Macaca fascicularis: one gene and its partners. The protein of the gene in region 3 interacts with the protein of the main gene of each other region in a pairwise test. Links are inferred from orthologs where the notes say so. Each region holds a gene or a part of one and is shown on either strand. Other genes may lie near its edges.

Region 1 (8,111 bases), on a different chromosome or scaffold from region 3:
ATTTAGTATGGTCTAGCACCTGAACAAAATTCAGATCTTGTGTTTTGACTAAAGAACTGTATTTTCTGTCTCTTTTCTAATCAAATCAGGTGCTCTCATAATTATTAAACTTTGGGTATCTACACAGAAACTCATTCCAAAGTTCACTGTTCATGGACTTACAGATATTTAGGATCAGTATTAGAGACGCTTTAATGGCACCAGATGAAAAGTATACCCGTCTAGAGGATCATATAAATTTCAACTCCAGACCAGAAAAGCTTCACACTTTCAGCAGCAGAAATGGTAATATTCATTAGTTTAAGGTTTTCAGTTTCTCATTAGTCTTAACAATTTTCTTTTTTCTCCCAGATTTATGAGTCATAGATGAAAATCTTACAGTCTATATTCATCTTTTACATTGTTGTCTACATTGTGTAAAAACGATAGTAACTGTTTTTTAATAACTTTGCAATGTCTAAAAATATGTAGGGACAACGTATCGCTGTCGTATGGGATTCAGTAAACCATCTAGTTGGGTTAAGAATGTAGCCTTGGCTGGTGCAGTGATCCCGGCAGTTTGGGAGGCCAGAGGAGGAGAATCACTTGGCCGAGGAGTTCAAGACCAGCCTGGGCACCATAGTGAAACCTCATCTCCACAAAAAATAAAAACGAAGTCAGCCAGGTGTGGTGGAGCATGCCTATGATCCTAGATACTCAAGAAGCTGAGACAGAATGGCCTGAGCCCAGGAGTTCGAAGCTGCAGTGAGCTATGACTTAGCCACTATACTGCGGCCTGGGCAACAGATGCCATCCTCTTAAATAAAAAAAAATAAAAAAAAAAAGATGTAGCCTCAACCGAGAATTCTTCATTATGTCCAAAAGAGCACAATGAAAACATCCCCAACAATACATAAACCTATACATAAAATATAGAATATCTCCAATATTTTTACTTTATATGGCAGCACGCCAATATATGCAAGAGACCATACTGACCGGGCAAGGGGAAAACTGATTCGGGCAATGACATGGTCAGGCATTAACATTCAGAGACCAGGTAAACAGCAATTTTAATCAGAAAAGCAATATAAGAAGAATTCCTACGAAGCTGAGATTTACATACTTCATTCTCCGTTCCTGGTCATTTCATCCACAGCTTGACTGTTGTCAATCATGGTTCTTTGCCTTTGGAGTGGTACTATAAAGGTACAGAGAATGCCCATCTCAGTACCAAACTTTCACCATGAAAAATCACAACAGAAATGACAAAGCTTAAAATAAAAAAAGTGTGCCGGATTTCAGAAGTATTTACCCTAATAATTTTTAAGAAAGCTTACCATAAATACTTCCAAAAACAACGGGCTTTACAAAATATTATACAATGTCCTGTGTACAGCCGTTAAGTATCTACTCAGGCCATTTGACAAGCTGTTTAGTAATTAGTTTCTCATGTACCCTCTCAACTCAGGAAGGTCAATAATCATCAGATTTCCTCTCTAGCTAATGGTCTGTTGTTAGCCTACTTTTAACAATGGAAGAAGAAACTGGTATAAGTTTTAAGTCAACCAGATCTCCTTAAGTCTCATAGTTTCTGTTTCAACATCATGTTATTGTGTACTTACAGAAGCAATCTCTCAGTTATGAAAAATAAAATCAGTTTCAGGGCTCAGCAAGTGAAAAGGGAAATGCTTTCCCAATCTCTCCCTCCCTCCCACCCGGCTTTTTTTGTTTAAAAAATTAAATTAAATTTAAATGTACAAGACCAAGCACAGGCACTTTCCAAAAAACAAAACTGAAGCCAAATCACAAAATTACTCAATAGTTATAGAAGACAGCTCTGATTTTGGGGGGTCATCTCTGGTTGCCTCAGCACAAGCACTGGTCTTTGGCTGCTCTGGCACTTCTTCCTCTTTTTCTGCCAGCCCACCAAGAGACCCCAAGGGAAAAGTGCTTTCACAATTCTGGGTTGAGGAGACCTGTGAAATTACAGGCATTTGAACAGAGGAGTTGCTTTCAAAACCGTGTTCTCCAAGATCATATTGAACAAGGGTCTCTTCTTGTTCCTGGTTTAAGTAGTCCGGTACTAGGAAATCACTAGATAAGAGGCAAAGGACGAAATATGGAATTAATTTTCAAGCCAGTAATAGATAAGCAACAATAAAAAGCTCTGATTTATACAACAAAATTGGGACTTTTCATTTCACTAATTGTTCGGTGAAGATTAAAACTCAGGAACTTTCCACTTACAAACTTTGCTAAACATGAACCAAAACATCCATTAAAACCAAAATGTATCAATCTTCCCTACCACCAATACATCAGGTTATCACTTTCATTATAACTTTGGACACCTTAACAGCCTTTCTTGTTCTATGCAGAGGAGTTTCTATATACAAAACAAATGTAGCATGCTCACTTAAACAAAGATCATCTGAGTAATGCTTAACTTTTCTTGATTATACATTGAGTAAGAGATATATAAACCTAGCTTTGTGTTACTAAACTTGACATGGCTTAGTTAAGAAACTAAGTCCTTATGCATAAATGATCTGATACAAAATCTACTATAAAGTTGGGAAATGTACAAAGTAATTTATGTGTATCCTGCTATTACATTTGGTATATGAAAATACTAATAAATTATCTTTGAATCAGAATGTGGAAATGAATGCCTTGAGATTGGTTGTTAATCTTCAAAAAGTAATTATTGGTCCCCACAGGAAACACGGACTGTAAAATATACTAAAACAGTGGCTAATTTCCTTAAGTGTTGAGATCAGAAAACATTTTAAATTTCTTTATACTTTTCTGTATTTCCTAAATTTTCAACTTATAAGCATTTTTTGGTAATTGAAACTAAGTATGTGAAATAAGTCTTATCTTAGAGGCTTTATTTAGATCTTTATTACTGAACTAAAAATTTCATTATACCAGAATTGTCAATAATATATGTAATTAGACTTGATAAAGTTATAATTTTACTGTTCAGTATTAATAAAAAATTAAAATCTGCTCATCTGCAAAGCAATTTAGAATGCCCTATGTTGTGTTTTCTAAAAAGTCTTCAGGTGTTAGAGAAGAAGAGTGGAGAATGCAGGGCTCTGCACAGGGAAGATAAAGATAACATGAGTAGTTAACAGGAACACTATTTTAGTCCTGAACAAACTGTGTTTAATATGATATGTATAATCTAAGGTTTAGTGATATGGCAACCACACATTCGGAATTAGAGATGACTGCATTAAACAAAATGAATGTCTGGTTGAGGGGAAAAATAAAATCTATGCAGGAATAATTTGGAATTTGTTTAAAAATAAGGTTTTAAGTCAGGCATGGTGGCCCACACTTGTAGTCCCAGCAGGAAAATTGCTTGACCCCAGGGGTTTGAGACTGTAGTGCGCTATGATTGTGTCTATGAATAGCCACTGCACTTCAGCCTGGGCAACACTGCAAGACCCCATCTATTCAATTAAAAAATAAAAAGGTTTTAAAAATAAAGGTGACTTAAAATGTAAAGATTTGGGCTGGGCATGGTGGCTCACGCCTGTAATCCCACAGCACTTTGGGAGGCCAAGGCAGGCAGATCACTTCAGGTCAGGGGTTCAAGATCAGACTGGCCAACATGATGAAACCCCATCTCTACTAAAACTACAAATATTAGCTGAGTGTAATGGTGGGCACCTGTAATCCCACCTACTCAGGAGGCTGAGGTTGCAGTAAGTCAAAATTGTGCCACTGCATTCCAGCCTGGGTGACAGAGTAAGACTCTGTCTCCAAAAAAAAAAAAAAAAAAAAAAAAAAATTTGTAAAAATTTCATTTAATTAGAAACTAAGGATTCCTGCAGAAGTACAATTCTTATAAACAATTTAAAACAACAGTTTTATATCTAGAGGAGGCCTTAGAAACCATCATTTAAAGCTTACATTTTATCTTTCTCTAAGTTACAAGCTTTTTCATCTGTAAAGTGACACGTTTAATCAACAGCAGTTAGTGGCAGAGCTAGAACTAGAACCTATTTCCTTGGATGCCCTACAAATCAGAAAGGTAATTCTATTATATATTAATATTAAAATAATAGAGCTCTAAACTGAATGAAAATAGGAATGACTTCATGATCTAAACCATCACACCCATTATAGCTGCTACTGAAAATTTTTCTTACTGGCCAATGGATATTCCTTTATATAAAATTTTTTTAAATAGAGAGAAGTGGTCAAGAATTTTATTAACATCCAGAGTCTGAAGTAATCCACTACCACTAAGTATCATCTGACATGGTAAAATTTCCAATAAGGCCAGGCGCAGTGGCTCACGCCTGTAATCCCAGCACTCTGGGAGGTCAAGGCAGGCGAATCACAAGGTCAGGAGATCGAGACTATCCCGGCTAACACGGTGAAACCCCGTCTCCACTAAAAATACAAAAAATTAGCCAGGCATGGTGGCGGGCGCCTGTAGTCCCAGCTACTTGGGAGGCTGAGGCAGCAGAATGGCATGAACCTGGGAGGCGGAGCTTGCAGTGAGCTGAGATCGCGCCACTGCACTCCAGCCTGGGAGACAGGGCGAAACCCCACCTCAAAAAAAAAAAAAAATTTCCGATAAGATCTATTTAAGGTCCATACGGAATTACTTAAACCTTCTATTATTTAAAAAATATCTCAAGAGGACAAGTAGTCCACTTGTGCAGGAAGATATTTTTAATACCAACTATAAAATGTTTATAATTTTATATGCTTAGAAGACTCAGCAAAATTTTATCAGATCAGGGACTGACTAGCTGGCAACCTAATGTAAAAACACAGAAGGCTGCCCTAAAAGCAGGAAAAGAGAGTTTAGAAAGCAGTTTTCCTGGTTGGGTTTTTGTTGTGCACCTCACCTGCTCTGGAAGTAGTTTGCTAGCTCTGATGCTTCATGGTTCAGACTCCTCAGGTGCACGATTAAATTTCCAGAGTTGGTGAACATGGCGCCACATGTTTTGCACTCGTAAATCCGAGGCTTGCGGATAATGTGCCGGGAAACCCTCATGTGGTGTTTATATTCCCCGAAGGAAGTGAAAGTGGCACTACATATCTGGCACCGGAAACAGCGTTTACCTTCATGCTTTAGGCGATGCATCTTTAGCGAGTAAGCCCTGGTGAACTTTTTCCCACAGCGGTCACACTGAAATGGTTTAATTCCTATAAATAAAGCAAAACAAAATATCTAAAAACAAAAATAAACTGAAAAGTCATAAACCCTACAAATTTCTGAACTATATTTCTGTAGCAATAGATCATCTGAAAAGACAAAAATTACCAGTAAAAACATACTCTAATTCAGTATCTCAGAACATGTGCAGAATATGTGAAAAGTCATGGCCGGGCGCCGTGGCTCAAGCCTGTAATCCCGGCACTTTGAGAGGCCGAGACGGGCGGATCATGAGGTCAGGAGATCCAGACCATCCTGGCTAACACGGTGAAATCTCGTCTCTACTAAAAAAAAATACAAAAAACTAGCTGGGCGAGGTGGCGGGTGCCTGTAGTCCCAGCTACTCGGGAGGCTGAGGCAGGAGAATGGCGTGAACCCGGGAGGCGGAGCTTGCAGTGAGCTGAGATCCAGCCACTGCACTCCAGCCTGGGCGACAGAGCCAGACTCCGTCTAAAAAAAAAAAAAAAAAAAAAAAAAAAAAAAAAAAAAAAAAAAAAAAAAAGAATATGTGAAAAGTCACAAGTGCTTAAAAAGGAAAAGAAAAAGGCAGTAGGGGAGGCAAACTAGGTAATGTCTACTGAAGTTGATTTTTGAATACTTTTCTAAATCATCTATTTTACTAACTTCAAAACACAATTTAACTACAGTATGTAGATAGAACCCAAATCCCCATGTAACACCATGTATTATTTCATTTCATTAGAAAGGCTTATATTGAAAAGATGTGAAAATCATCAGTACCTACTCTCTGTTCCCTATCTCACAGAGAAATGAGAAGAAGAAAGAACAATTTTAACATCTCTGAATGCAATGAGCATGACAGAACCATCATTTGATAAAATGGGGTTTTTGGGTAATACTGATAGAAATAAATGAGTTATAAAGTGTACTAATAGTCTCCTCAAATGCATTATCACAGTGTTTTGGGGAAAAAATTTTAAAACCTTTCAAAACACAATCTGCTGACTGAACAAAGTCACAGAGAGCTGGTGCTAGGACAGGGACTGTAAGACCTATCTACAGAAGGGGAAAGTGAGCTAGTAACTCTCGCAGCTGAAACAGCAGCAGAGATCTCTTACTCATCAGAGGTCAGTGTTTTACCCACAAGAATCCTGTTGCCTTCATGTGATTACTGAACTAAAGTTTCAAATCCCTTCTATACATTTATCCAAAATATCTCTTATGTTTTAAAAAAGTACAAACTACAAAGCTGACTCATCAGGGCACACAGAGATTTAGGACTGTAAAACTGAAAGTAAATTGCAAGAAAATATTACATTTTTAAACACACTTTTATTTGGGAATAATTTCAAACTTACAGAGATGTTATAAGAAGAACAGCACAAAGAACACCCATACAGACCCTTTTAACCCTATTTGCTTTACCATCTGTGGTTGTGCTTATCTATCTCACCTCTATGTGCACACCTAATATGTCTTTTATTTACAAAGTACTAAATCCATATCACCTTATGTTCTTTTAATCAGAATACTTAACACTGATGGCAAACAGCTTTCTGACACTGCACCATTTTGGCAATAAACCTTAGCTAATCTGTTTTCATTTGACTTCTCAGAGTTTTTTTTTAAACTCAGAAACCCCTGTTTTCTATTTTAACTGGGATTCCAAAATAAAATGTTTATTTTTAGAGTGTTCACTTATGCAACAACAGGGAAGGTGACATTACCTGAGTGGATGAGCATGTGCTGCTTTAGGTTCTGAATACGGGTGAAACGCACCCCGCAGGTTGGACACTGAAAAGGTCTGTCGGGACCATTTGGACTTGGTCGTTCTGTACTGCTGGTAGAAGGAGCAATGTAGAGTTGGTAGGGATACTGAACATTTTCCAATCTAAAAAAAACAGACCAAAGAAGGCAACCAGGCTCTGATTTTTAAACTGAATAAACACTGCTACAGGTCAATTTTAAATGAAAAAAGATAAAACACTTAAAGACTTTTTCAAACAGTTTAACTGTTAGATTTCAAGTTTCACTAACAATATGAAAAACAATGTTACTGTCCAGAATGCCTTTTGTCTTTTTTTTGAGATGGAGTCTCGCTCTGCCACCCAGGCTGGATTGGAGTACAGTGGCGTGATCTCGGCTCACTGAAACCTCCGCCTCCCAGGTTCAAGTGATTCTCCAGCCTCAGTTTCCCAAGTAGCTGGGATGACAGGCACCTGCCACCACGCCCGACTAATTTTTGTATTTTAGTAGAGATGGGGTCTCACCATATTGACCAGGCTGGTCTCGAACTCCTGACCTCAGGTGATCTGCCTGCCTTGGCCTCCCAAAGTGCTGGGATCACGGGCATGAGCCACCGCACCCAGCCCAGAATGACATACAACCACAGAACATATCATCAACTATTTTACCTTTGATGTCCTTAATCTCGCCAATTCTTTCCTTCTAACCACTTCTTAAATTTAGGCCTTCATTAATACAAGCCTGAGTTAATAACTCTCTCCATTTAGCTCCACACTCCTCTAATCCATCCCTCTCACTGTATCATAGCGATCTGATCAAATCAGTCCCCTGTCTAAAATTCTGCAATGGCTGTTATCTTCAGAATAAAATCAAACCCCTTTGCAAGGCATACACGATTCCTCATGATCTGAGCTCTCTGTACCTTTCTAGCCTCATTTGTTGTCATACTCCCCAAACACATCCTATACCAAATGCCTACTCATTTTACGAAATGTAGCTAGGAAGCCACATGCTCCTCAGGGAAGCCGTCTTTGATTTTTCAGTGGTTGCGGTAGGCATCCTCCTATGCAGGGCAACAGAGCTCTGCAGATCACTTATGGTAATCTGTTTGTCTATCTTCAATCCTTATACTTCCTCCAAAACTGACTGAGCTCCTTGAGGCAAGGGGCTGCATATCTTATCTCTATATTACTACCATGCAGAACAGTATCTAACACAGAACAAACAACCTGATTAA
Region 2 (7,870 bases), on a different chromosome or scaffold from region 3:
TGTGGTTGAGTCTTCACTGTGTGATTCTTGTTCCATGAATTTAGAAGGTGAGAGTTGGTGGATAGCTTCTAGAAGTGGGTTTGAATAGGAAAGATGAAGGCTGTATCAGAGCTATGATGGTGCCACTGCACTCCAGCCTGGGTGGCCTGGGTGACAGAGCAATATTATCTCTTAAAAAAAAAACAAAACCCCACCAGCTGGCTGTGGTGACTCATACCTGTAATCCTAGCACTTTGGGAGGCCAGAGGCAGGTGGATCACGAGGTCAGGAGTTCAAGACCAGCCTGGCCAAGATGGTGAAACCCCATCTCTACTAAAAATACAAAAAGTAGCCAGGCGTGGTGGTGGGCACCTGTAATCCCAGCTACTCGGAAGGCTGAGGCAGAGAATTGCTTGAACCCGGGAGTGGAGGTTGCAGTGAGCCAAGATCGTGCCACTGCACTCCAGCCTGGCAACAGAGCGAGACTCAGTCTCAAACACACACACACACACACACACACACAAACACACTAAAAAAAAACTGTATCAGGATCAGTTTTCCTTCTTAACCTCTAAAGACAGATTTTTTTTTTTTTTTTTTTTTTTTTTTTTGAGACGGAGTCTTACCCTGTGACCCAGGCTGGAGTGCAATGGCACTGATCTCGGCTTACTGCAACCTCCGCCTCCTGGATTCAGATGATTCTCCTGCCTCAGCCTCCTGAGTAGCTGGGATTACAGGCACTCACCGCCATGCCCAGCTAATTTTTGTATTTTTAGTAGAGACGGGGTTTCACCATGTTGGGCAGGATGGTCTCGATCTCCTGACCTTGTGATCCTCCCGCCTTGGCCTCCCAAAGTGCTGGGATTACAGGCATAAGCCACCGTACCCGGCCTTTTTTTGTTTGTTTTAGATAGGGTCTCACTCTATCACCCAGGCTGGAGTGCAGTGGTGCAAGCATAGCTCACTGCAGCCTCGACCTCCCAGGCTCAAGCAGTCCTCCTGCCTCAGCCTCCCAAGTTGTTGGGACTACAGGCACGAACCACCATGCCCAGCTGATTTTTAAATTTTTTGTAGTCTCACCATGTTGCCCAAGCTGGTATCAAACCCCTGGGCTCAAGCAATCCCTCTCACCTAGGCCTCCTGAAGTGCTGGGATTACAGGTATGAGCCACCATGACTGGCTTTAAAGACAGATTTTTTTCTTGGAACAACACTCACCAGTCATGTGACTTGGGGTAATTTAACATCTATGGACTTTAGTCCACAGAAAATCAGAATTAAAGCAGGGTCTGATGACTTGTTTATGAAAATTAAATAAGAAACTGTTGAAGCACTTAAAAAGCAATACAACATGATGCAAATAGAAACTTAATTGTTTTGGTGTCCAGCAGTTAGTTTGGTAGAAATTGAGCAATGTGTCAGAAGAGGAGACCCAGTGATTGAGCTGTTTCTTTTCTTATTACAGCTATCTCTGAAGGGCACAAATCAGAAAGCACCATGCCTCCTAATAAAGAGGCCAGCGGTCTCAGTAGTTCACCAGCGGGGCTCATCTGCCTCCCTCCAATCTCTGAGGAGCTACAGCTTGTGTGGACCCAAGCAGCCCAGACCAGTGAGCTAGACAGCAATGAACACCTGCTAAAAACCTTCAGCTACTTTCCCTATCCCAGCCTAGCAGACATTGCCCTTCTCTGCCTACGTTATGGGTTGCAGATGGAGAAAGTCAAGACTTGGTTTATGGCCCAGCGCCTCCGCTGTGGTATTAGCTGGTCATCTGAAGAAATAGAAGAAACTCGAGCCCGAGTAGTCTACCGTCGGGACCAACTCCATTTCAAATCCCTTCTCTCTTTTACTCATCATGCAGGACGGCCCCCAGAGGAGGTGCCTCCTCCTCCAATGCCAGCTCCAGAACAAGTTGGTATTGGAATAGGTCCTCCGTCTCTTAGCAAGCCCACCCAGACGAAAGGATTGAAGGTAGAGCCTGAGGAGTCCTCTCAGATGCCACCACTGCCACAGAGTCACCAGAAATTAAAGGAGTCCCTGATGACACCTGGCAGTGGAGCATTCCCCCACCAATCAGATTTTTGGCAACATCGTCAAAGCAGTGGCTTCTCAAAGGAGCAGGCAGGCAGGGGTCCCAACCAATCACATGGCATAGGAACTGCTTCCTGGAACCACTCCACAACTGTCCCCCCACCACAAGCTCGGGATAAACCCCCACCAATTGCATTAATTGCCAGTAGTTGTAAGGAGGAGTCAGCATCTAGTGTTACTCCCTCTTCTTCCTCTACCTCCTCTTCTTCTTTCCAGGTACTGGCTAATGGAGCTACTGCCACCTCTAAACCCCTCCAGCCATTAGGCTGTATCCCACAGTCAGTGTCACCCAGTGAACAGGCATTACCCCCACATCTGGAACCAGCCTGGCCCCAAGGGCTACGGCATAATTCAGTACCAGGTAGGGTTGGCCCCACAGAGTACCTTTCCCCAGATATGCAACGCCAGCGAAAGACCAAGCGCAAAACCAAAGAGCAGCTGGCTATCCTCAAATCCTTTTTTCTACAGTGCCAATGGGCACGGCGTGAGGATTACCAAAAGTTAGAACAGATCACTGGTTTACCTCGGCCTGAGATCATTCAGTGGTTTGGTGACACACGTTATGCCTTGAAGCATGGGCAACTAAAATGGTTTCGGGACAACGCAGTACCTGGTGCCCCTAGTTTCCAAGACCTAGCAATTCCTACACCACCACCATCAACCCGCTCCTTGAATGAAAGGGCTGAGACATCACCTCTGCCGATCCCTCCACCCCCACCGGATATACAACCCTTGGAGAGGTACTGGGCAGCCCACCAACAGCTACGGGAAACTGATATCCCTCAATTGAGTCAGGCATCAAGGCTTAGCACCCAGCAGGTACTGGATTGGTTTGACTCTCGATTACCTCAGCCAGCTGAGGTGGTAGTTTGTCTAGATGAAGAAGAGGAAGAGGAGGAGGAAGAACTGCTAGAAGGTGATGAGGAAGAAGAGGAGGAGGAGGAAGATGATGATGATGATGATGATGTGATCATACAAGACTGAGTGGGGAGCTGGGGGAGGGGAGGTCTGTTATGAAAAGATGAAACAACTTAGTAACTGTTTAAACAAAGAAACCACATTTTTAAAATTACCTTGTGGCAGAGAACTAAAAAGCTTTGTGTTCTTCAGGGTGGGTGGCAGGGGAATATAGTGAGGGTGGACCAGGGAGAATGACCATAGGGCACTAAGTAAGGCTGGGATTGGATGAGCAGAAATCCAGAGCTCTAACCTTAGTGTAGAGAGTGCTAAGGATCTGGGGAAACCATGGGCTGGCAAACTGCTCTTGCTCACCTCGTGTCTGCTGTTCTTTTCCCTTAGTGTACTATAGAGAGGCCAGACATTGGCTCCACCACTCCAGGAGGATTGGAAAGGAGGAGTAAAGGATTCTGATTTGATTGATGATTCCAGTGCATCCCCAATCCCACCATCTTACCTGGAATATAAGGCTGCCTTGCACCCCGTTTCTGAGCACAAGTCTGTGCATGATGCAACTGACTCTTACTTTTTTTCTTAATAACTGATCATTTCCTAGACAACCAAGATTCTCAGTAAGTCCCAATCTCATCACAAATATTAATATTTCCTTTTCCTCATACCAACTTGACTGTTTCACCTGTTTCATGACTAAATCACAGGTGGCAGAATATTTTTGGGTTTTTTTTTTTTTTTTTTTTTTTTTTGAGATGGAGTCTTGCTCTGTCACCCAGGCTGGAGTGCAGTGACGCAATCTCAGCTTACTGCAAGCTCTGCCTCCCGGGTTCATGCCATTCTCCTGCCTCAGCCTCCCAAGTAGCTGGCGGCCACCACCATGCCCGGCTAATTTTTTTACATTTTTAGTAGAGATGGGGTTTCACCGTGTTAGCCAGGATGGTCTTGATCTCCTGACCTCGTGATCTGCCCGCCTCAGTCTCCCAAAGTGCTGGGATTACAGGCGTGAGCCACTGTACCCCGCTATTTTCAGTTCTTATGCTGGGACCACTTTGCTTTGTAGTTTTTTCTGTCTTTCCAAAATCCTCACTCTGTTCACTGTTTGTCTCAGGGTAAATCTTCCCCCACCGAGCTTGTGAAAAACTTTAATAATTGGGTAGAGAATAATTTAGAATGGATATTTATTGGAGGTGGTAATTAGGGAAGATGTCGTTTTAAAAAGTAGAACTGTGTTACAAAGGGGTGAAAGAGGGAATAGTTTCCCCTTGTTGAAGGACAGTGGAGGTAGGTTCCAGGTTTGGTTTTACAAACCTGATAACTACCTCCTGTCCAACTTGACAGAGACTAAATTTTCATCTTTTTGCTGTCAATTTGTTTCTGAAAAAGAGACTTTTTCCCTCTCTTTATAGGATCTGTCTTAGGGACAGAGGGACCATCGTCTTTAAGTGAATTAATTATTGATGTTTTAGAATGGTTTTCATCAGTTGGGATCAGCTATATGGCAAATAGGTATCATCAATGAGTTAACCATCTAAAAATAAAAGAGTGGAAGCCCTAGAATGCTAGAACAATAATAAAAAGGCCAAAAATAAAATTGTTTCTCTCTCATCCACTTTGCCACTCCTATGGTTTAGGGATTAATGGAACCAAATCCATTAACATTCTAACTCAGCATACTTTTAATTTATTGTTTTGAAGGGCAGGACTTATTGAGGTAAATTAAAAGAAGAATAAAAACTTTAAAAGGAAGTAGTTCAGCATCTGTCACCAGCCAGGTTGTTTCTCAGCCATCAAATGATAATGACTGAAATTTCTGAGGCTTCAGGAGTAACAGAGATACAACAATCTTGGAGGTAACTCCATTTGCTACAGGACAGGCTCTTGCCTAAAAGAGAAGGTGTCTAGAAATGCCTTTAAAATAAATTCAGAGTACCAGAAAGGGTATAGGGCTCCTAATTCAGATACAAGGTCATTCCCAAGAGCTAATTTATTTCTGGCAGATGCCTGCTATTTTCTGTTTTCCCAGTATTTTTGCTTAAGGCCAACTTGTGAGTGGCTAACCTATTTAATTCCTCATTTCTGCCTTTTAGTACCCAAAGTAGAATACATGTTTGATCTCAGTGGTAGTGTTGTTTGCCCATTCCACCATTCTAGAACTTGTAATAGTGATAGAATTGTAGCAATAAAAGGGTGTCGTCTTAATTTTACTATCTATATACTAAACTGAAAATCAGTGTCTCCAACAGTTGTTTTCAATAGAAAGGAAAATTAGCATTTAATAGTAACTAAGCATAGAGGAAACAATAGGCAAATAGAAAATGTATAATAAGGACAAAGAACAGAGATGTTACTTGTTAACATTGGCAATGTGACAGTATATCCATAGCTAAAAATGAAATCCAGAAATGAAACAGTGATGAGTATATGATCCATCACAATCCCCATTCCCAACTCCCAACCAAGCATGATGCCAATAATTATTTTTATGACCTTTGTTTCAAATTGTAGGAAATGAGGGGAGCTACCAAGGTCTTCTGGAAGAGCTATAAACATCTTCCTGAAGCACTAGCCTTTTGTAAGACCTGACCACTGTCCTGGGAGGTGATAAGGGTGAATAGGGTAAAGATGGAGGGAGCATAAGGTATAGAGTGAAACTAGGAAACAATGTAGGGATAAATTTTCCAGGGCCATCACCCCTAATGGGTACTGGAGGCTACAGTCCATCCTTCAGCAGTATGTATAGATCAGACCTTGAAGATGATCTATCTGGAAGTGGTCCATGCTTCTCTCCCACTGGGTAATCCCATCTGCCTCTGTTGTTGGTAGAGAGTCTGCAGCAGAGGACAAAAAGGTAGATGTGGGTGTTTATAACAACAAAAAGGGCAAGAAAGTCTCTCTGAACTCATTGTATGAAGCTTATCGAGACAGACACCACTGCTTTTGCTTCCCCATAGTTTTCTTCATTGCATGATAACTAGTTTTTCCAAACTAGGATTTACTACATCTAATGTGACAGTCTCTGGAACATTTCAGTGGCTATGGTGATAATAATAAGGATGAATATTTGAAAATTATTTTGGAAAATCTGGGACATATGACTACCACACCCAGAGATGACTACCAGGGAGGCAGAGTACTTAGGCCTCTGAGGAGGTGGCATTTCCTTCAATAACTTTAAAATTTTTTCACATTTTCAAACAATACATAGAATAGTATAATGAACTCATGTGCCCATTGTCCATCTTTAACAAATAATTCGTGGCCAATCTTTTATTTCTACTCTCCCACTGTCCCTCCCTACTAAATTAGGGATGCAAACCCCAGACATCATTTGACTTTTCATCCATAAATAGTATGTATCTATAAAAGTGAATGGCTATTTTTAAAAACATAACTACAATATCATCATACCAAAAACTCTCCAATATTAACAATTATTTAATATCAAATGTCCAATAGATAATTTTGTTAAACTGTCTCATGAATTGTTTTTTTTATTTTTTATTTTTTTTTCTACAGCTTGTTTCAGTCAAGATCCAGTTAGGGGCCAAATATTTGTAGATGGTTTATTGAGCTTTTAAGTATTTTTTCCTCTGTAGGTTAATCCCTCCATTTGTGAGTATCTTAGGGAGGACTGTTATTTCCCCAGTGTTGCCTCTTAAGGCTTAGACCCTAATTTCTTTTTTTTTTTTTTTTTTTGAGACGGAGTCTTGCTCTGTAGCCCGGGCTGGAGTGCAGTGGCCGGATCTCAGCTCACTGCAAGCTCCGCCTCCCGGGTTTGCGCCATTCTCCTGCCTCAGCCTCCTGAGTAGCTGGGACTACAGGCGCCCGCCACCTCGCCCGGCTAGTTTTTTGTATTTTTAGTAGAGACGGGGTTTCACCGTGTTAGCCAGGATGGTCTCGATCTCCTGACCTCGTGATCCGCCCGTCTCGGCCTCCCAAAGTGCTGGGATTACAGGCTTGAGCCACCGCGCCCGGCCTAGACCCTAATTTCTTACTGATGAAAATAAAAGGGCATCTTGGAATATGGGAGCAAAATATATACCTACCTTAGTATGAAGGAACTGTCCCTGGGGACACCAGGAGCTTGGAGTGAAAAAAGGGCCTAAATATGCTCAAAATCCAAGCCATTAAAAAAAAAAAAAAAAAAAGGCAAGACTGGACTTTTATTTTTTTATTTTTATTTATTTATTTATTTTTGAGATGGAGTCTCGCTCTGTTTACCCAGGCACTGGAGTGCAGTGGCATGATCTCAGCTCACTGCAACCTCCGCCCCCCAGGTTCAAGCAGTTCTCCTGTCTCAGCCTCTCTTGTAGCTGAGATTACAGGTGCCTGCCACCGCACCCAGCTAATTTTTGTATTTTCAGTAGAGATGGGGTTTTACCATATTGGTCAGGCTGGTCTCTAACTCCTGACCTCAGGTTATCCACCCGCCTCGGCCTCCCAAAGTGCTGAGATTACTGGCGTGAGCCACCGCCCCCGGTGACTTTTCATTTAACAGAACTCTTTACAAACCTTTCCTTGTTACCATGCCCTTTTCTTTTTGTTACTGGAATCGGAATCATAGTCCCATAAATTTATAAAATATTACTCTAGCTGTCTCTGGAGAAGTAAATGTGGTTTTTCCTAGTTCAAGTAGTACCTCTACCCAAAAGATATATGTCATAGAAAATACTTGATTGTGGAACTACTGAAAATGTCAGTGTGTCCACACTTATTTCACCCTGGCCAAGACCTCTCAGTTTAAAGCCTCTCACTAGCATGTGACTTCATTTTAAAACCCCAAACCAGGAAGCTAATCCAACAGTAGGATAAAATCTAGAATTGAAACCATTCTGGAAGGTTGTGAACATACAGTTACCAGAGTTGAAACTCATATCATTTTTCACTGG
Region 3 (8,111 bases):
GCTATCCCTATAATTTTGGCTATCCTTATTTCCATATCCTTCTGTATCTGGGCCTCCCTGGAGTTAGTTATTCTATGTGTCTACCTGCATTTGTTCCATGGCCTGACTCTGATAATGGATGCACCCACCAGTGCTCTAGCTTCTGCTTGCAGGTCTCACTCCTAGCTTAACCTTTGCCTTGACCTTTGACTTGACTGAGATTTCTGGCTTTGGCTGAAATCTCCTGCTGCTACCAGCTGCTACCTTATGCCCCGGAATGCTGTTCAGCCCTCTGTTAACTCAAATCATGTCTTTGTCCCAAAGAAGTCATTTCAGTGTGTGACTGCTTTCCTAAGCCTATTGGAATTAAGCCTATGTCTTGCCTGGTTGTGCAGAGTTCTGTGACTGATGGACCAGAGGTGTGCCATTAATCTGTCAAACCCACATTTCTAGTTATAGCCATAGCTTATTACCCAAGTATGATTCACAAAATCATGTATAGTTTATGACCCCTGATATCTAATCTACTGTAAATTCTATTATCTTTAAATCTCAAAATTTTTAGTGAACCTTCTGGAGTAATCAGTAGCTCGTAGGATAGATTAAGAGAATACCAAGTGGTTAAGTGTTCATCAAAGTCTTGCTCAGTTTGATGATGTAAGGAGGAGTGTCACTTGAAGCTCTGGAAGTGAGTCAATTTTGTTTAAAGAGGCAACTTACAAGATTCCCCAAAACAACCTAGCAGAATGGTTGTCAATTAGTAAGTGCAACATGTGATAAATCTATTGTGAGAAAGGAAACGGAGTTGTTCCACTTGGCTCCACTCTTCACAATAAAGGCAAGAACATTCTGATTTGCACACAGGATTTAAGGAACCCCCGTGGTGAAAGGCTGCTGTCTCCAGGAGCATCAGATTCTACAGAAAACAAGGAGGAAGAGGGAGGGAGGACCCAGAGGCGGAGGAGAAGGAGCAAGGGTTGGGCGATCTGAGGGGCTGGGGGAGGAGCCAGAGGAGAAGGGAGGAGCCATAGGAAAGGGGAGGAGCCAGATGAACGGGGAGGAGCCAGAGGAAAGGGGAGGAGCCAGAGGAAAAGGAGCCAAGGAGGGAGAAGGGGTAAGAAGGATGTTGGTTCCCAAGCCTGGAGAAATTGGCACATTTCTATTTGATTTTTTTCATTTTATTTATTTATTTATATATTTATTTATTTATTTGAGACGGAGTCTTTCTCTGTCACCCAGGCTGGAATGCAGTGGTGCGATCGCAGCTTACTGCAACCTCCGCCTTCCGGGTTCAAGCCATTCTTCTGCCTCAGCCTCCCGAGTAGCTGGGATTACAGGCGTGGGCCACCATGCTCGGCTAATTTTTGTATTTTTAGTAGAGATGGGGTTTCACCATATTGTCCAGGCTGGTATCAGACTCCTGACCTTGTGATCTGCCTGCCTCGGCCTCCCAAAATTCTGGGATTGCAGGCGTGAGCCACCGTGCCCGGCCTGGCACATTCGTATTTGAAAATCATGAGTAAAGGCTGGAGAGAGACAGCGGAAAAACCCGCCAGGCACTGTGGCTCATGCCTGTAATCCCGGCACTTCAAGAGGCTGCGACGGGTGGATCACTTGAGGCCAAGAATTTGAGACCAGCCTGGGCAACATGGTGAAACCCCGTCTCTACAAATAATACAAAAATTAGTCTGCAGTGGTGGCACGCACCCATGGTCCCAGCTACTCAGGAGCCTAAGGCAGGAGAATCTCTGGAGCCCAGAAAATCGAGGCTGCGGTGAGCTGAGATCACACTACTGCACTCCAGCCTGGGTGACAGAGTGAAACCTCATCTCAAAAATAAATAAAAATAAAATAAATTTTAAAAAAGAATGATTACAAAAGAAAACCTAAGCAGCCTAAACAAAGATAGTCCAGAGACACAACTGAGTAAAAATGTCATAAATTTTGCTATTATTTTCCCATTTTAAAAATATTTGGTTTTTATTTCTACGTAGGTTTACATAAACATATATTGAGGAGCTAGGAAAGATTTTGATGGCATTTGAAGGTTTGAGGATGGTGTACTGATGGAGGCTTATCAGTCTGGGATACAGCGTTATAGAGAAAAGAAAGGAAATGACTGTGATGACATCATAGACAGTCCAGCTTGAGGAAATGGTTAATAAGTTAGTCCAACTCCCCATTTTACAGATGAGGAAACTGAGGCCCAGAAGGAAGAGACTTGGCCAAGCCCAGGTGTTTAGAGTCATAGCCAGTACTAGTACACAGGCCTCATAATTCTTCTTCCAGTATTCTTCCTACTACATTATTATGGACTTTTTTTAATGCCTGAGGAAGCATTTGCTTTTAAAAAGATATACTCAATTTTTTCCTGCTCAGTTAGTATAGGTATTTTTATTTTGAGTTGTTTTAATAGAGAAACTCAATTTGATATAAAATACAATAGAAAGTTTTTGCCTTGAATTCAGGTAGGTTCAAGCTGAAATCATCAATCTGTTATATCAAGAGAAATGCCAACTCTGCAATTCATACTGAAGACGTGTGTGTATTGTCACCAGCTGGTAACAGCATATCTAAAGTGAAGGGATGGGAACTAAAGGTCACACATAGCCTTCTGAACGATTGAAACTGCCAGGTAAACATCAAAAAGTCTAAAGAAATGACCACATGGTTGTTTTATTTTAGAACAGAGAAAAGAGGGTCTGGCCTCATAATAATAATAATAATAATAATAATAATAATTACGTAGTGTGGAAGCAAGTTATGAAACAAATACTCAGTGCCTGTCTCCAGGAAGGAAGGCTGGCTGGCTCACAGATAAGACATGCTTTCCGCAGGTTCTGAAAGGTCGGGGTGAGGGTGGGTGCAATAACAAATTCTTCTCTGTAGCGCCCATGATGTAGTGCTCAGTGCCTCTCACATACATCCAATATAAATCTCCTAGAATACAGACCTTTGCTTCTCTGAAAAGAGGTTGTTCCTATAGAAAACATTAATCCTTGGGCCCCAACTGCTTTGTCTCTGCCTGCGAAGGGTGACTCTCAATATCTTCACCCCAGGCATCACTGGTCCTCCTACTTCTGTATGGAGACCGAGTATGCTTGCATGGGCATGGGTGTGCATGTGTGTGTGTGCCTTTTAATGTTCATAAATGGTAGCATACACAGTGTTAGGGGTAAAATTGTATCCTCCCAAAATTCATATGTTGAAGTCTAGCCCCAGAAGCTACCTCAGAATGAGATCTTACTTGGCAATAGGGTCATTGCAGATGTAATTAGTTAAGGTGAGATCATACTGGAATAGAGTGGGCTCCTAACCCCATATGACTGGTGTCCTTATAAAAGAGAATGCCATGTGAGATGCCTCCATGACTGTGCTGATCCCCCTCATCCTCCCCCTGAGCACAGCTTCCCTGGAGGAAATGGACAAGAAGAGTCAGTGCTTTCTTCGGTTTTGGCTTCTTGCTTAACACTATTGCAGTAAGTGATTAAATACTTCACACTCATTTCTGCTCTGTTGCTTTAACTGGCTACTCTGACACCTGGCGCCTCAGCGCTCTCTCCCAGCTCAGCTGGGCTCTTGACCTCCCGTCAGCAAGCCTTCTTCTGCTGCTCAACAGACTGACCATCAACTAGCAACAGTTACCCAGGAGTTCAGGATGTTGACCAATCTAAACATAGCCCTGTCTCCACACTGCCCATCCCCATGGGACTAGGAATATCTTTTTCATAACCAGATGACAAATATCTTTGCCCATCTGATCTCAGCACCTTAAATTCTCAACATCCCTCAACTCATAAAGGAGCAACAGGAGGAACCAAAATTTCCAGTGTCTACTCCGTATGCCACTCCTTTTATACACATCATCTTCTTTAATCTTTATAACAACCTCTTGCAATGGGACCATCATTCCTATTTTACAGTTGAGAAAACTGGGTGACTTCCCCAAACTCAAACACCTGGCAAGTGGCAGTGCCAGGACTTAGCTGGGACCTACCCACGGTGCTCTGCTCTCATACCCTGCCTCCTCCCCAGGGTCACAGCTGCTCCCTAGGAAGCTCATGGGCAAGGCACACTGATTAGCTGTGAAACCAACTGTGACTGGCTCCTGGCGAATATGGACACAAATACCTCAGCAGCAGGGTTGCATGTACCTTGGGATTGTCTTTCACCCCCAGGAAGAGGTCGTCCTTCAGTTTTTTCTGGCAGTGTTCACATGTGCAGTCAAAGTAGTACTGCTTCTTCAACTGCCTCTTGCGTTCTTCACTGACGTTGAGGAAGTCGATGTAGGACACAGTCAGCTCCTCTCCTTCTGAGATCTTGCCCAGGGCCCGGAGCTCAATTCTGGAGCAGGGCGAAAGGAAAAGGTGACTCGAATCCAGGCCTACTGGAATGGGATCCATGCTCTCCTCCAAGGCTTTGTGGAGTTGGGTCTCAAAGACAATGACTTTCACTGGCAGTCAGAAACCCCCATTGACTCCACAAAAGGAGAAATGTGACCTAAAGGATGATTTTGTGGATAGTTCTACTCTATTCCTTAGAACAGTCCGATCCACTCCATTCAGTTAACTGCTCTGGAATCAGCTCAAATAGACTCCTAGTAGAGAGCTGGGCTTGGTCATAAAACCAGACAGAATGTCCATGCCCATAAGTCTCCCTTTACTTTTAGCTACTGATTGTCTGTAATAAAAGAAGGAGAAATAATAAGGCAGAAACTCCAAACAAGAAAAAACTTGAAAATCTTTTCTGGTTAGTTTGGGGACTACTCTCTCAGAAACATAAAAATTCAGTTACCCACAACCTTGGCTCATTCGGTGTCTAACTTGAAGTCACCTCTTGACCTTCAGTCCAATGGTTCAGGCCAAATTACCTAACGAGACTTAGCCCACTGGAGATCATTGAAGTCAAATAAACAAAGGCTGGCTCTGTTAGCTCACTGCATTGTTCACTTTTGTGTTTATTGGGGGATGTGGCTTGTTGGTTGAAGGTCGTTAGCAAGGGCAGATGGCATTTCAGTTCCCTTCCAGCCTAGACCTGACCCTCAATTACCTATAGCACAACCCACCTTACTTAATGAGATAGGTACTGAAGATGTTGAAGGTAAAAACCTGCTGCAGAACTGACATCCAGCTGAGCCAAACAGGTAGAGGTCAGCCTGTGGATCTCTCAGCCATGCATCCTCCACCACAAGGCCAGACAGCTACAGAAAACAAGTGGTGGGCCCTGCAAGCTGGGTCCTAAACCGTGCTCCTGTACCTCCCCAGAATCCTGGGGCCTCCCTGCCTAGTGGGAAGCCATCATCCAGAGAGCAAGTGGCAGGATGCAGAGGGCTGGGGAGAGTGCCTGCACAGAGATCCATGGTCATTTCTTTTACCTCCCAGGAAGGCTCAGTTAGACACCATGCAAAAGCAAGGGCAAGACTCCAGCACCCAAGAAGAGTCCCAGTCAAAGGCAGCCCCTTCCCTGTGCTCTGAGATGACAATCAAGGAAGCAACTGCTGAATGGTAGTGACGTTCATGTCCAGGCGTCTGAGGTGACCACTGATGGATACAAATCCTTCTCCCAAAGTGAGATACACTGACACACCTATTAATGTGTTAATGTGTATAAAAACAACTCCTGTGGAGTCTGCAAAACTGAAGTGCCTGCTCACCATTTGTCACTCCTTTCCTTTGTTCCTTACCCCAATTTTCGGCAGCAGCGGTTACTGTAGTGATGAAAGGCCAGTAGGAGAGGAAGGCCGGGTGATTCTGCTCACAGTTCTGCTTAGAATCCTAGTTTGTCTGAGCTGCAGGGATGCTCATTTCACAAATGAGGATAGTGACACAAGAGGGATAGGTCCCACAGCACTTTGGGGACAGAGCCAGGATTAGAACTTCATACCATTCACCCTCAACATAGTAGCCTTGCCTGGTTGTTTTCAGGCTGCTTCCTGGGTCTTCGATGCATGGGAATTAAGATGCATCAAAGTCTTTGATTTTTAGGACTCTACTAATGTCCTAAGTAATTCCATGTGAGCATCTCCTGAGCCAGGATCTCCAGTATTTAACCCTATTGGGTAAGTAACCAGTTCTGCCCCCACGAGTCCCTTTTACAGAGGCAGCCCACCATAGTGACATATTCTAATTCCACAGTGAATCAGTGGCCAATTGGGCTAGAATTTCCAGTAATTTTGCTTCCTATCATGATTGTGCCAATTCTTGCATGGTCTCAGGGTATCTCCGATTATTCCAATGGTATTAGAAATTTTTCAAAACCAAATTAACTTAATGTGACTTAAATATGAAAAGATGCATATATGTATGCCTCATTTTACCTTACTTGAAACTGGAGATTGGGGGAGAGGAATGGAGACCAGCCTGAAATAAGCACTGCAGGAGGCAGGAGATGAGGGTTTTAGCCCTGGCTCTCCCTCCAACCAGCTTCCTTGGACAAGCTTCATCCCCACCTTGTACCCCAGGCCCCTTCTACCTCCAACAATCTGCAATTCTATAGTTCAGCTAATTGAGCCACAAGTAAGCAGCCTATTTATGTATTTCTCACAGAGGTTAGGGACAGAGTCCAGAGCTACAGAGACTTAGAACTAGGAAGGTCCCTAGAGCACTCTCCTCTTGACCTTTCTCTACAGATGTGGAACCCAAGCCCAAGAGATGATGTGAATCATCCAAAGTCACGTGCAGTGCACAGCAACACAGACTCAAATGCACCAACCACTTCTACCCCAGCATTCCCAAAGCCCAAACTCCCACACAGCATTTTGTTCTTAATCCAAAGACCACTTCAAGGGCTGTCAACCCCACCCTGAGGAAAAGACCCATCTAGGGCCATTTGGTTGTCATCAAGAAAAGTCAGAAGTAAAATTTAACCTAAACTACTCATTCGTAGTTGGTCAGAAGCAGTAAGCAGAATACTGGGAATAAACATTTATTAAAAATATCGGTTATAGATGCTATTTTTTGGAGCCCAGTCTGGGTAAGAAGTTGGGGCTTATAAACAGACAGTCCTTTAGTAGGTCAGTCACAGTCCCCATTTCATGGTAAGCAGGGTTTAGGGAGACAAGATAGGCTTTTGCTAAGACGATGTGGACTACAAGGGTTCATGCTTCAAGGTTGGAAGAGCAGTGGAAGTGAGGCATGAAAGGGAGGAAGAAAGGAGGCAAAGTAAAGCAAAGACAAGGCAGGTGGTATGTGGGTAAGGAAAAAATGGTTAATTTAAATGCATTAAAATACACCATTCAGCAAAGACGAGACACTGGGATGCAGAAGGACATTATGGACAGATGGCAGTCAAGGAGTCTTGGGAATGGGTGGCTCCAGCAAACCAGGCAAGTGAGGGAGACGGGTCAGAGGAGCAGGGATGCTTGAAAGGACTGACCCACCTCATCTGGGTATGAAACATGGATTTCACTGCCTCATGACTGAAAGACAAAACAGACACCCATATGGAAATCATTATCATTGGCTGGTCAGGAGTCATCCAGTGCAAGGGTGCACAGCATTCTGAGTCACACTATCAAAGCTTTGGCCATCACAACCTTTATCCTAGCCCCTTCTAGCTGGACTCACTGGACAAGACACAGCCTGCTAGAGTGGAAAGTGCACTGAATTTGGAACAAGACATTCTGGATTCAAAGGTACTCAACCCTGACCTGAACAAGTTCCTTCCCTTCCCTGTGTTTCAGTGTTCTCACCTATAATGAGACTGTCATGAGACAATGCACTTAAAAGCAGAGTGCTGAAAAAACATGCGCAATGCTGTTATTATCATTCTATTAAGCATCCTGGATGAATAAACATTGCCTCTTTGGATGTCGGTCTTGGAAAGAGTTTGAAGTGCACATGGAGGCTGTTTAGGTCAAATCGATAGTATATAAAAATTGTTGGGGTTCAAACTGGGCCCCTAACCCCATGTCTAGGGTTCTTTCCACTATGGCAGGTGGCTAGACAGGAAATGCAAAGTCACCTTCTCTTGCACAAAAGCCAAGAAGCCTGGATAAAATGTGGCTGCTAGAAATTAGTAGATGCAAGGAAGCCAGAGCAGACACAGAAGAAAGAGTTCCTAGGTTCCTGTGGTTGTTATACCCAATGACAAGAGGAGCCTTGGGTCACTACCACTTAGAAGAGGGCCGTCTA

The links.
Region 1: the proteins of SMYD1 (region 3) and ZBTB44 interact in binary tests that used the Homo sapiens proteins (3 or more experiments, as listed by UniProt). The link is inferred for Macaca fascicularis from reciprocal best matches to the Homo sapiens genes SMYD1 and ZBTB44.
Region 2: the proteins of SMYD1 (region 3) and HOMEZ interact in binary tests that used the Homo sapiens proteins (3 or more experiments, as listed by UniProt). The link is inferred for Macaca fascicularis from reciprocal best matches to the Homo sapiens genes SMYD1 and HOMEZ.

Annotation. Positions count from the first base shown.
Region 1 is NC_088388.1:128,681,714-128,689,824, forward strand, and holds part of ZBTB44 (zinc finger and BTB domain-containing protein 44), read right to left. Parts: intron 7,020-8,111; coding exon 6,856-7,019; intron 5,158-6,855; coding exon 4,857-5,157; intron 2,077-4,856; coding exon 1,798-2,076; coding exon of another isoform or gene 1,794-1,797; exon of another isoform or gene 1,786-1,793; intron 1,181-1,785; coding exon 1,150-1,180; coding exon of another isoform or gene 1,107-1,149; 3' UTR 1,106-1,106; exon of another isoform or gene 1-1,105. UniProt on the Homo sapiens protein: May be involved in transcriptional regulation.
Region 2 is NC_088381.1:91,041,348-91,049,217, reverse strand, and holds the end of HOMEZ (homeobox and leucine zipper protein Homez), read left to right. Parts: intron 1-1,443; coding exon 1,444-3,053; 3' UTR 3,054-4,572; downstream 4,573-7,870. Other genes in the region: E3 ubiquitin-protein ligase RNF212B, read right to left, coding at 5,729-5,809. UniProt on the Homo sapiens protein: May function as a transcriptional regulator.
Region 3 is NC_088387.1:22,908,638-22,916,748, forward strand, and holds part of SMYD1 (histone-lysine N-methyltransferase SMYD1), read right to left. Parts: intron 7,397-8,111; coding exon 7,358-7,396; intron 4,324-7,357; coding exon 4,134-4,323; intron 1-4,133. UniProt on the Homo sapiens protein: Methylates histone H3 at 'Lys-4' (H3K4me), seems able to perform both mono-, di-, and trimethylation. Acts as a transcriptional repressor. Essential for cardiomyocyte differentiation and cardiac morphogenesis.